Linked DNA regions of Ovis aries. The protein of the gene in region 1 interacts with the protein of each later gene in a pairwise test. Links are inferred from orthologs where the notes say so. Each region holds a gene or a part of one and is shown in the gene's direction. Other genes may lie near its edges.

The links.
Region 2: the proteins of L3MBTL2 (region 1) and MEAF6 interact in binary tests that used the Homo sapiens proteins (3 or more experiments, as listed by UniProt). The two-hybrid records come from large-scale screens. The link is inferred for Ovis aries from reciprocal best matches to the Homo sapiens genes L3MBTL2 and MEAF6.

What each region holds. Positions count from the first base shown.
Region 1 is NC_056056.1:218,192,484-218,198,790, forward strand, and holds the start of L3MBTL2 (lethal(3)malignant brain tumor-like protein 2), read left to right. Parts: upstream 1-2,184; 5' UTR 2,185-2,251; coding exon 2,252-2,275; intron 2,276-4,082; coding exon 4,083-4,323; intron 4,324-5,843; coding exon 5,844-5,977; intron 5,978-6,307. UniProt on the Homo sapiens protein: Putative Polycomb group (PcG) protein. PcG proteins maintain the transcriptionally repressive state of genes, probably via a modification of chromatin, rendering it heritably changed in its expressibility.
Region 2 is NC_056054.1:12,340,477-12,346,748, reverse strand, and holds the start of MEAF6 (chromatin modification-related protein MEAF6), read left to right. Parts: upstream 1-2,127; 5' UTR 2,128-2,135; coding exon 2,136-2,225; intron 2,226-3,419; coding exon 3,420-3,535; intron 3,536-6,272.

The sequences.
Region 1 (6,307 bases):
CAGGACTCTCTGGTGAACTCCACTACCTTCTTGCCCTCTTGGAGGCATATCAGGCTAAGCAGAACTCCTAATTCCCTCTATTCAACCATCCAAACTCACTTATTCCTTGTACAGTTTTTACCCACTACAGAACATGGTCAACCCATCTGACACATTTACCCAGTCATTCTGGATTCCACCGTCTTCCAAACCTACTCCATACAATTAATTACTGCCTCCAAAATACTTCTCAAATTCTTCTACTTTTCTGCACGTCCTCTAAGTCTGCCCTGGTCCAAGTCACCAGCATCCCTCCCCTGGATCAGCACAGGAGCCTTCTAAGTGGTCCCCCTGCTGCTCCCTTGATCTACCTCCAACACACTTTCCATGCAGCATCTAGAGAGTGAGCTCTTAAAACAAAATCTAAACAATCTACTTATTTCCTTAAAAATCTTTACAGGTTTGTGGTTACATTTTTCTGCCAACTAGGGCCCTTTACCTCCTCCTCTAAATTCTTTGTCTGGGAACTTCCCTGATTGTCTATTGGCTCAGACCCCACAATCTCAATACAGGGGGCCCAGGATTGATCCCTAGTTCAGGAACTAGATCCCACATGCCACAGTTAAGAACTCAAATGCCTCAACTAAAGCTCCTTCATGCCACAACTAAAGATCCCCCATACCACAATTTAGACCTGGTGTAGTCAAATAAAAAAATACATAATTTTTAAAAATATAGGATACCTTTTGGTGGCAGAAGAACCAACAGTACTCGTGGACAGCATGGGTATGTGGTTGGAGGTAGAAAGTCTTGAAGAAAGCAAATAAATTAAGAAAGACTTTCACATGTATCTAGTGGACCTCAAATTTAGAAATATATTTAACACATGTCAAGGCCTACTTATTATATTTAGATTCTCAATTAAGAGTATAGTATAGCATAGGCAAAGAATTTGGAATAAATCTTGAATTCCAATCAAATGTGATCTTAGAAAGTGTCTAAACCCAAAGGGCCACTGTTTCCTCATTTGTGAAACAGTGACTGATTGTCCCTGATTTAAGATGTTTGTAAAGCTCCATGATAGAATTTCCTTGATGGCTCAGTGGTAAAGAATCGCCTGCCAATGCAAGAAACAGGGTTCTGATCCCTGGTCCGGGAAGATCCCACGTGCTGTGGAGCAATTAAGCCTGTGTGCCACAACTAATGACCTTGTGTCCTAGAGCTGGTACTCTGCACCAGAGAAGCCACGGCAATAAGAAGCCCACGAATTGCAAGGAAGAGTGGCCCCCACCTTACCCCCACCTCTCTGCAACTGAAGTCCACACAGCAAGGAAGACCCAGCACAGACAAATAAATGAATATATATTTTTTTAAAGCTCTACTACAGCACCTAGAACTGTGAGTAAGGACGGTTGTGGGTCCTTAAAGACCGTTGTGGGTCCCAAAAGAATGAGGCAGAGAGCCTCATATCTGAGGTTTATTTCAGGAGATGGTGATGCAAGGTAGAGTGTTGCAGAATTTTAAGCATGTGGGACATTTATACCATTGGACCTAAGAGTGAGTATTCCAGTTTCTGCCTAAACAGGGAACAGTCTCTCTGCTAGGCATCCCCGCACTAGGGCACGTTTAATTTCTCATCAGGGAAAGGGCGAGGTTTTTCCTGGAGGGTGCCTGAACAGTACTTTCTTACGTGAAGTCACTCAGTCGTGTCTGACTCTTTGCGACCCCATGGACTGTAGCATACCAGGCTCCTCCCTCCATGGGATTCTCCAGGCAAGAGTACTGGAGTGGGTTGCCATTTTCCTTCTCTAGGGGATCTGCCCGACCCAGGGATCGAACCCTGGTCTCCTGCATTCCAAGGCAGACGCTTTAACCTTTGAGCCACCAGGGAAGGTTGCTAGTACCTTCTTAGGTACTCAATAATTGTTTAATGAAGAACGGAGTCGGTGTGATAGCAAGAGGTTACCGTGGAGAAACAAGAACTATCCTCCCGGGTCAGGCAGGTCTGGGGCGGGGAAATTTTCACGGCGCCACAGCAACGACCCCCTCCACGCGCAGCCCAAAGGAAACTACAAGTCCCATAAGCACCCGCGGCTTCCCCGCCTCCAGGGGAGGCGGGGCTCAGGCCAGCGCGGAACCGGCTTTACCTCTTTCCTGCAGCGTGATTGGCCTTCGGCCCTGGGAGGCGGCCAATGAGTAAGCTCCGGGAGAGCGGCGAGGCCAATATGGCTTCCTGCACCTGGTGACGGTTGAAGAAACTGTGTTAGGTCTCATGGAGAAGCCCCGGGGCGTCGAGGTGAGAGGGAGAGGACTTCTCGGAAAGGGAACCCCGAGAGCCTCGCTCGGTGGGCCTTTGAGCGACGCCTGGAGGGTGGAGGATGGAAGAATGGATAAACAGGTAGTTAGGCTGAGCAAGGCCAGAGGCGATTGGCATCGCCTTTTGCTCCCGTTCTCCTGGGTCCGAGTGAGGTTGAGGGAAGAACAGCTTCACTGGCCTGGGGGAAGAGGAACTGGGTTCAGGATATGAGAGCTCCTGAATCTTCCTTCTCCCCCTTGTCTCATGGTGGCCTCTTTAGGGACTGTGAGGCCTGTCACATCCTGGTGGGAAGTAAAGGAAGATTAAAGTTTAATAAACACTCCGTATCTGGAGCGTTCTCGTGCGTTATCCCACAGTAACAAGTCCTGTGTTATTGTCTGTTTTTTATGGATCATGCACCTGAGGCTTGGAGAGGGTAGTGCCACTCCCCAGGAGGGCCACGCAGCTGTAAAGTGAAGGAGATGGGCACTAAGTCTGTCAGGTTCCAAAACTCTCCCTGTTTTGCTTTTCCCATTCTTCCCACCACCTGCAACCCATATATCCTTTCATCATTTGGCTTCTGGTTACCTTATATTTGAATGTCCTTTCTGGCACATTTGCATATGTAGTGTAAATATAAAGTGGAATCGCTCACAAACTCTCCGAGAGTCAAGAAGAATCATCATCAGTGTAGAGTGTGAATGATAACTCCCAGTTTCAGAGCTGTCACTGACTGCTGGGAACAGAACTAGGCTTTACATAGCGCCTGGGTGCGCACAGCAGCACTCTAAAGAAGGCTTGTTACAGCCATTGTACTGATGGAGAAACCGAGAGCCCTAAGTAGGAGAGCCCGGATTCCAGCTCCGGCATATCCGATTTGAGTGCCTGTGCTTTTAACCAGTAATGATCACCAGCATTTATTGAGCACTTGCTGTTTGCATGTCACTATTCTGAGTGCCTTTCCCATAGTAACCCTTACTTCTCCCCCAAAGCCTATGAAATAGGTGGAATTGTCCTCATTTACAGATGGGGAAACCGAGGCACTGAGATTGAACTGCTGCAGGTCATATAGTAGGGATGGTTTTGGAGTCTTGGCCTAGAGCCCAAACGCTTCACACCTTTTCTGCTACATGCCACGTAGATTCATATAGAATACCTCATTTCACATTGCACATCTTTTGAACCAATTTTTTTTGTTGTTGTTTTATAGATGAGAAAAATGAGACCCAGACAGGTTAAATAACTTGCCCAAGGACCCACAGCTAGTTAGGATCAAGGCTAGGTCCAAAGCTAGGTATGTCCCACAGTGCTAGTATGTCATTTGCCTCAAATCCTCTTTAGGGCAGTCTGGGCCCCAAATTAACTTTCGTCTGACTTAAATTGTTTTTGAGTTGAAATTACTTTGGTGTATACCTGCTGAAGGGGGAAGAATGAGTTTCTGGAATACATCTTTTCCAGAATGTCTTCACGAAGCACCATGCTTAGTATATTTTCACATCACTCTGTTCTGTGTGAATTGTGGTAAAATGTCGTCATGTATAAATCCGCAGAGGACCCTGGTGAATTCCTAATACATGTTTCTGTCTGGCTAAGGTATTCTTTTGACTTGCAGTTGAGAAAGGTATAAACAAGAGTAATGATCCTGGTGTTTACGAAAGGGGTGTTTGATTGTACCTGCCGCTCGGCCCAGAAGCGTTGACTTGACCAGGACCTGGAAAGGGAGTTGATAGCAGACCTGCAGTTTCCCTTGTCTTACAGTAAGCCAACCACGATTGCTCCTGCCTGCTTTGTGTCATCCTTTTCCTAGGAGACTCCGTCTTCAGAACCGATGGAGGAGGAAGAGGAAGACGATGACCTGGAGCTCTTCGGCGGCTATGACAGCTTCCGGAGTTACAACAGCAGTGTGGGCAGTGAGAGCAGCTCCTATCTTGAGGAGTCAAGTGAAGCAGAACATGAGGATCGGGAAGCAGGGGAGCTGCCCACCTCCCCGCTGCATCTGCTCAGCCCTGGGACGCCCCGGTCCTTGGACGGCAGTGGTTCTGAGCCAGGTGCCTTCAAAGTGTCCCCCAAAGATAGGGAGGTTTCAGAGGCTATGGATGGAGAGGCAGATGTAGGCCAGGTGGGCGGAGCCGTCCAGGTGTAAAGGGCTCTTTGATCTGATGTCTAAGGACCTGTGAGAGAGACAGAGGCACCCCAAGTATCCCCAAGGGTCATTTCAGTCTGATTTCAAGTTGTGATTTCATTCTTTTCTCACAATTAATATTCATTCAGCACATATTAGATGCCGATCATTAACATGGTGGTGCTTTTGCGTTTGTGTAAATAATAATAGTTGGTGGATTTCTAAGCCTGGGTCTTGAGAATATACGACACCTAATGTGATCTGGTTACTCTCTGGGAAGGGACAAGAAATAGCTCGTGAGTCGGAAGTGAGAGGCAAGGAAATACAGAATTAAGTGACCTCCAGGTAAGAGGATGAGGGCAGATAAGAATCCCTGTGAATCATCTGGAAGCCAGTTGGCGTCAGAGGTGTGATGCTTGTACAGCTGCTGGACCTCGGTGTCAGGGCCTCCAGTGTGGGGACTGCCTGTGCAAAGAGGCAGGTTAGATGGTCTGTGATGACACTCCTGTTTCTTGGTCCCTTTACTCTTTAGAAGAGAAGCATCTAATACTCTTTGCCTCTCCATTCATCCTGTCTTCTTTTCCTCTCTCCCTTTTTATTTTTATTAAATTATTTATGTTACTGTTGGTTGCGCTGGGTCTTCATTGCTGCACGCGGGCTTTCTCTAGTTGAAGCAAATGGGGGTACTTCGTTGTGTATGTGGGCTTCTTGTGGTGGCTTCTCTTATTACGGACCACAGGCTGTAGGTGCACGGGCTCAGTAGTTTTGGGGCACAGGCTTAGCTGCATTGTGGCACTTGTAATCTTCCCAGGCCAAGGATCAAGTCCGCCTCTCCTGCACTGGCAGGCAGATTCTTAGCCACTGTACCACCAGGGAAGTCCTGTCTCCCCTTTCTTTTATTTTTCTCCCTTCTATCTTCTTCCAGTCATTATCTTAGAATCTTAGGACTAGAATGAACTATTAGAGACCATCTAGTCTGGGGATGCACTCACCTGGCCACACATTAGAATCATCTGGGGAACTTCTCATAACCACTGATGTCTGTGTCCCACCGCAGAGCAGGTCATTCTAATCAGGGCATTTTTAAGTGCTTTCCAGGTGATTCTAATGTGATATCAGGGATGAAACATTGATCTAGTTCAGCCTCTTTAGAGATGAGAAGAAAACAGGCCCACAGAAATTAAATGATATGGGTACATTTTTGTCTTCTCATTTTCCTCTTTGCAAACTTTCCCCAGTTGTCCGCAGGGATTCTCCTTAGCCCCATTTTGACACAGAGCCAAGGGATGCCACACAGCTTCAGGGGTACACACCCAAATTGCTTCCTCCTATTCCAGTTCTGTCAGCCTTAGGGGGTTAATGCAGTGCCCCAGGTTTGAAGGGCCCATCATTTTGTTTGAACTGGGGTGATGATCAAGGGAGTCACATGCTAAATTCTCTTCCCAGCTGTCTGTGAGATGTGTGGGATCGTGGGTACCAGGGAAGCCTTCTTCTCCAAGACCAAGAGATTCTGCAGTGTCTCCTGTTCCAGGAGCTACTCCTCCAACTCCAAGAAAGCCAGTATCTTGGCAAGATTGCAGGTGAGAGGCAGTCACTTGGAAGACCCTTCCTGGGGCCTTGGTTGCTGGGGCCTTGGTTGCTGGGGCAGGGGCAGGAACCACTACCTGTGCTGGTGAGGGGCCCAGAGGGCTTGGGCAGGACGTTGCTTGTAGCCTTCTGAGGTTGTAAACAGCCTGGTATTTCTTACGCACCCATTTCTGGAGCTCAGTAAGTTGCAGATTCCTGGAGCTTCCCTTCACCCCCAACCCTCACCCCTCAGGGTCTGAGGTGTCCTCAGGAAGTTCTCTTTTTGGCTGTGCTGCATGGCATGGGGGAATCTCAGCTCCAGGGATGAAACCCATGCTCCCTGC
Region 2 (6,272 bases), on another chromosome or scaffold:
AGCCTGTGCTTTAGAGCCTGTGAGCCCAAACTATGAAGCCCGTGCTCAGCAACAAAGAGAAGCCACTGCAGTGAGAAGTCTGTGTACTGCAAGGAAGAGTCGCTCCCACTCACTGCAACTAGAGAAAGCCCTCTGCAGCAGCAAAAGACCCAGTGCAATCAAACATGAATAGAGGCTTCCCTGGTGGCTCGATGATAAAGAACCTGCCTACCAATGCAGTGTTGAGTCCTGCCCCCAAGGCCACAGAAGCGGAGCCCAGAACCAAGGTCACCTCTGAAGCTGACTGAGCCCCTTTGTAACTGAGCCCCTTTTGTTTTCAGAAGACTCCCTGACTTCCTGACCCCCAGTCAGGCAAAGATGCCCACTTCAGCAAACACCTTATAGCACCCCAACCAATCACCTAACACCAACCTTGCAGCAGGCATTTTCTTTGGCTTGAGGCTATAAAAATTGGCTATTAACCCACAAAAGCCGTCAACTCTCCCTGGTCTCTTAGGAGGTTGGCCCACTGTGCTCTCGGTGCCTACTTTATCTCTGCTCTTCATTCTTATACTCGCTCCCTGCTGGAATGCTGTGTGTCTGGAAATTCTTTACCAACCTATGCTCAAACTGCTTAACATGCAGGAGATATGGGTTCGATCCCTAGTCCACGGAGATTTCACATGCTGCAGGACAGCTAAGCCCGGGTTCTGCTGAGCCTGTGTCCTGGAGCCCGGGAGCCACGGCTGCTGAGCCCACGTGCGGTAACTACTGGAACTTGAACTCTCTAGAGCCTGTGCTCCGTAGCAAGTGGAGCCACCGCAAGGAGAAGCCTTAGCACCACCATTAGAGGGTAGTTTTGAATTATTGTTATAAAACCCTTCATCACATCCTCCCAGGGTGGAACACATAGTTTTTCGAGACAGAAGCCCAGTTTGTCTTCCTTTGCCTGGCAAAGTGATAGAGCCTTCCTTTTCTACTTCACTCAAAACTTTGTCTCCAAGATTTGATTTGGCATTAGTGTATGGAGAGGCCAAGCTTTCCATAACAACATTAGACTTACAGCAATTGTGTTAAGTATGCACTATTATTACCTCCATTATACAGATGAGGAAATTGAGACAAGTGAAATTTAGCTACCTGCTCAAGGTGGCCCAGCCTCATCAATGGTAGAGGTAGCGTTTTTTAAATTTTAGTTTTTTATTGAAGTATTGTTGATTCACAATGTTGTATTAATTTCAAGTGTACAGAAAAGCGATTCACATATATGGAATCTTTTCAGATTATTTTCCTTTATAAGTTATTACAATACAATGAGTATAGTTTCCTGTGCTATAGAGTAGGTCCTTGTTGGTTATTTATATTATATGTAGTAGTGCCTGCATATTAATCCTAGACTCCTAATTTATTCCTTGCCCTCTTTCCCCTTTGGTAATGGTAAATTTGTTTTCTGTGTCTGAAAACTCACAGAATCATCATCTCCCAGACCTCAGCTTTGTTCCTCCTCCTCCATTTCTGCCACCAGCCAGGTGTCTGTTCCAGCTCGTCTGTGCCCTTAACCACCGCACATACTTGTCTCTCTAAAGGGCAATAGGGAGCCACTGAAAGGTTTTTACCTAGAAGGTGACACATTTGTTTTCTAAAAACAAATCATCCTGGCACCACTTTGGATAATGGATTAAATCGAGCTAAGGATAGAAACAGGAGGCTGTTGGAATGTCTCCAAAAACGAGAGCCTGGATGAATGAGGGAGGTGGCAGACAAAAGGAAACAGATTTACGAGCTCTGCTCGAGTCAAGTCCAGAGGACTTGGTTTTGGATCGGATTAAGGGGGTGAAGAAGGGTGAGGCCGGTACAAAGGTTTCTGACTCGAGTAATTCCGCGGACACTAAAAGTCATTCACTGATGAGACTTCCGAGAAGTCTTATTTTGGACACGGTGAGTCTGCAGTGCAGAAATGCGGCCGGGACCTAGGGCAGAGGGCACCCTTGGGGTCCTGCGAGCCCACCGGCGGGAGCTCTGGGGGGCGCCCAGCGCGCCTCCGGAAGCCGCGCGCGCAGGCGCAGTGTGGCGGCGGGCGCCCCCTGGCGGGCGGTGGCGCGAAGGGACCGCCCCCAGCCTAGCGCTGCCGCCGCCGCCGCCCGCCTCAGCCCAACATGGCGATGCACAACAAGGCGGCGCCGCCACAAATCCCCGACACCCGGCGGGAGCTGGCGGAGCTCGTGAAGCGGAAGCAGGAGCTGGCGGTGAGGGCCGGCACCGGGGGTGCCCGGGTGAAACCCCCGCGCTTGCCCCCGTCTCCGGGCCCGGGCCCGGCCGCTCCGGGCCGTTCGTTACTCCCCGGGCGCAGCGCGGCGGCTGGGAGTCCGCCGGCCTGAGGACGGCTGCGCATTGCGCGGCCCGCCGGCGCCTCGGCTTCCCGGCCGGGCGGATCTGGCGCCGGGAGCCGGGGGCGGGGCGCGGAGCGGGGGAGGGGGAGGGAGGCTAGGCCGGCGGAGGCGTGGAGGGAGGTTGGCGCCCGCGGGTGGGGGCTTCCGTGTGGGAGCCTGCGGCGGCGAGGGTCCGCGAGCCCCGCGGGCTGGATGAGGGCGGGCGGCCCTGGGCTCTTGGAGCGATTGGGCGGCAAGCGTGCCGGCAGGGTGGAGGAGATCGGCTCCGGCTTGGCTGTGGGCTCTGGGGAGGTGGGGTAGGAGACGGATGTGGGAGGGGAGACCCACACATCCATTCTGACCTTTGGAGGATGGAGGGGCGTTAATGTCTTTGCGGGGAATAGGATTAGATCCGTTGGATGGGGCTTTTGATGGGCAGGCGTGGGATGTGTTCGGGGACTTCTTAGAAGATGACAGGTGAGGGGGAGCGGACTCAGCCTAGGGAATTAGAAATTGTGACACGCGCCTGGGGCCCCTTGCTCCCTGGTGGCTAAGCCGTCCCTCCCCTTGCGTTTTTGGCTGGAGCACCGGGAGGCGCATCTTACCTGAAGCTGCCCTTCCAGGTTTCCATAGCAACCGGCCGCCCGGTGCAGGCGGCCTTTCGGAGCTTGCAGGGAGGCGAGCGAGTTGGCGCTGGAAGGCTGCTCACCCTTCCCTCTCCGGTAGCGGTGTCTTTTATGCGTGGGAGTGGAGACTGCTCACCTTCTTCCTCCGCGGTTTCTTGACAGCTGGGTTTCCACGAAGCCTCTGAGTATATACAGACTTTTGCCTGGGTGTACATTTTTCTAGGGACAGAATCTATTTCATTTTATTCTTAAAGGCACCCAGCAAGACAGGTCTAGACTGTCTTGTCTGAAACAGCCTGCCCCTACCCATGTCATCCCTCTCTCCACAAGGCTGACTCGGTGTCGTTGAACTTGAATTTCTAAGCCTGATACCAGGATGTCAGTTTGGTCCGACTTAATGCTTGCATGTAAAAGGCATCAACTGTTTCCTTGTCTTTCACCTCAGGAAACACTGGCAAACTTGGAGAGACAGATCTATGCTTTTGAAGGAAGCTACCTGGAAGACACGCAGATGTACGGCAACATTATTCGTGGCTGGGATCGGTATCTGACCAACCAAAAGTGAGTGACAGAAGCCTGTAGTGTTGCTTTGTGCCCTACTAATGTTTGCATTTGGTGCTTCCCTGGCGGCTCAATGGTCAAGAACCCGCCTGCCAGTGCAGGAAGTGTGGGTTCCTTCCCTGGGTCAGGAGGATTCCCTGGAGAAGGAAGTGCCAACCCACTCTAGTATTCTTGTCTGGAAAATCCCACTGACAGAGGAGCCTGGTGTGCTGCAGTCCATGGGGTCTCAAAGCATCTGACACGACTTGCGACTAAACAGCAACAACTGTATTTGTGATCAGGACTATGTATGTCCTTGGCGGTAGCTTTGGAGGGAAGCAGTAGTAAGGTGGGGTGGACAGAGGTCTGCATTCGAGCTTGGTCTCTGGTTCAACCCCTGCCTCACTGAGTAACCCTGGACAAATCCTACACAGTAGGGGAAGTCTGGCCAATGGCACAGGGTTGTGTGAGGCTTAAATGGAATACAGCATATAATACTTTATATACCAGCATGCCTCTTGCTATTTTGTACATTTTAATCAGTCAAGAGTTCCACCCTCACAGGATTTGCCCTACCTATATGCCAACTGTGCCATGGTTTATTTAGTAATATTATTCTTAAAAATGTTCTAATTTTTTTTTGAAAATTTTCGAATCTAGAGAAAAATTGAAAGAATAGTTCATGATCTCTTGATCTCCTTCACCGATCACCAGTTAGCTTGCTGTCACGTTTGATTTCTCTCTCTTCCCTTTCTGTAATTTACAAGCACACACTCTATGCGGGCATGCCTGCTTAGTCACTCAGTGGTATCCAACTCTTTTTGACCCCACGGACTGTAGCCTGCCAGGCTCCTCTGTCCATGGGATTTTCCAGGCAAGAATACTAGAGTAGGTAGTCATTACCTTCTCCAGGGGATCTTCCTGACCCCGGGATCGAACCTTGGTCTCCTGCATTGCAGGCAGATGCTTTACTATCTGAGCCAACAGGGAAACCCATACATCCCCATATCTATACTTAAAATTAAAAAAAAAAATTTTTTTAAATAATTATAGATACATAGGCAAAAAACAATACAGAGAGGTTCCATATATCCTTCACTCAGTCTTCCGCAGTGGTTGGGTTTTATGTAACCATTTAGTACAATGGTAAAAGGAGGAACCTGACCTTGGTACAATGTGTAAGTTTAGTTCTATCATTTTATCAAGTGGGTAGCTTCCTGTAACCACCACCGCAGTCAAGATATAGAACTGTTCTGTCACCACAAAGATCTGCCTCCTGCCACCCCTCTGTAGTTGTATCTCTCCTTTCTTCCATATATGTGTATTATACTTTCTGCTAAACCATTCAAAAGTTAAAAGCAGATCTTGGACACTTCGTCCCTAATTGTGTTAGCAGATACCTCCTAAGAATAAGAGCATCTTTCTTAACGTAACCACAATTATGCCTAGAAAATTAGCACTACATTAATAGTATTATCTAATATACAGTCTTTATTCATATTTCCCCTAATGGCCCCCAAAATGCATTGCTAGCTCATTTTCAACCAGGTAGTGTTTGTGCATTGCATTTGGCTGTTATGTGTCTTTAGTCTCTTAATTTAGGATCTTCCCAACCTTTTCATGGAGAAGGCAATGGCACCCCACTCCAGTCCTCATGCCTGGAAAGTCCCATGGATGGAGGAGCCTGGTGGGCTGCAGTCAGTGGGATCACTAAGAGTCGGACACGACTGAGCGACTCCACTTTCACTTTTCACTTTCATGCATTGGAGAAGGAAATGGCAACCCACTCCAGTGTTCTTGCCTGGTGAATCCCAGGGACGGGGAAGCCTGGTGGGCTGCCGTCTATGGGGTCGCAGAGTCGGACACGACTGAAGCGACTTAGCAGCAGCAGCAACATTTTCAGTGGTGAGCTTGTTTATGACATTATCTTGTAGAATGTACAAATTGTAGGTTTTTCTTGTTGTGACTTCATGAGGGATCCTTTAAATACTTTTGGCAAAAATGTTGCATTACTGATTATGTACCTCTTGTTTACCTCCCAGTTGTTTTCTCTTTTTTTGACTGCCCATGCCATGTCGGATCTTAGTTCCCTGACCAGGGATCGAACCTGTGCTCCTGCAGTGAAAGCATGCAGTTTTAACCACTGGATCACCAGGGAAGTCCTTGTTTGCCTTTCTGTTATCAGAAAGCTCAAAACGACAGATTGGCCCATTGTTGGTGCTGCTAAGTTTGATTATGTAATTTCACAATTGCAAAAGTTATTTTTTTCTCTTCATAATTGACAGTTAATTTCAGAGGTTATACTTTTTTAGAAGTGTGGATATGCTCCTCCCCCAGTTTGTGTCTCTGGGTTTAGTGTCCATTGTTGATTCTTACCTGAATCAGGTATTATAAAGGAGGTTGCAAAATGATGATTCTAATTTCACTGCTCCTTCTGCATTTGTTACTAGCATTCTGAAAGCAGAGTTGTCCCTTTTTATCTTCTTTCCCTTTCATTCTGTCTCCCTCTCTCTAGAATCCTTGTAGATGCATGGACTTAAAACCCAAAAACCCCCCAGTGTATTGGGGTCTAGTACTGTCACTTTTTTATGCTAAAAGTTTATTTTATTATTTAGTACAAATTCGTTTATTGAAATCTATACGAAGGAGTACATAAATCATGAATTTACAACCCACTGGCTTTTCACACCCCAACACACCCATCATTATTGTTTTTGATGCTCATTAGTCACTCAGTTGTGTTCAGCTCTGCGACTCT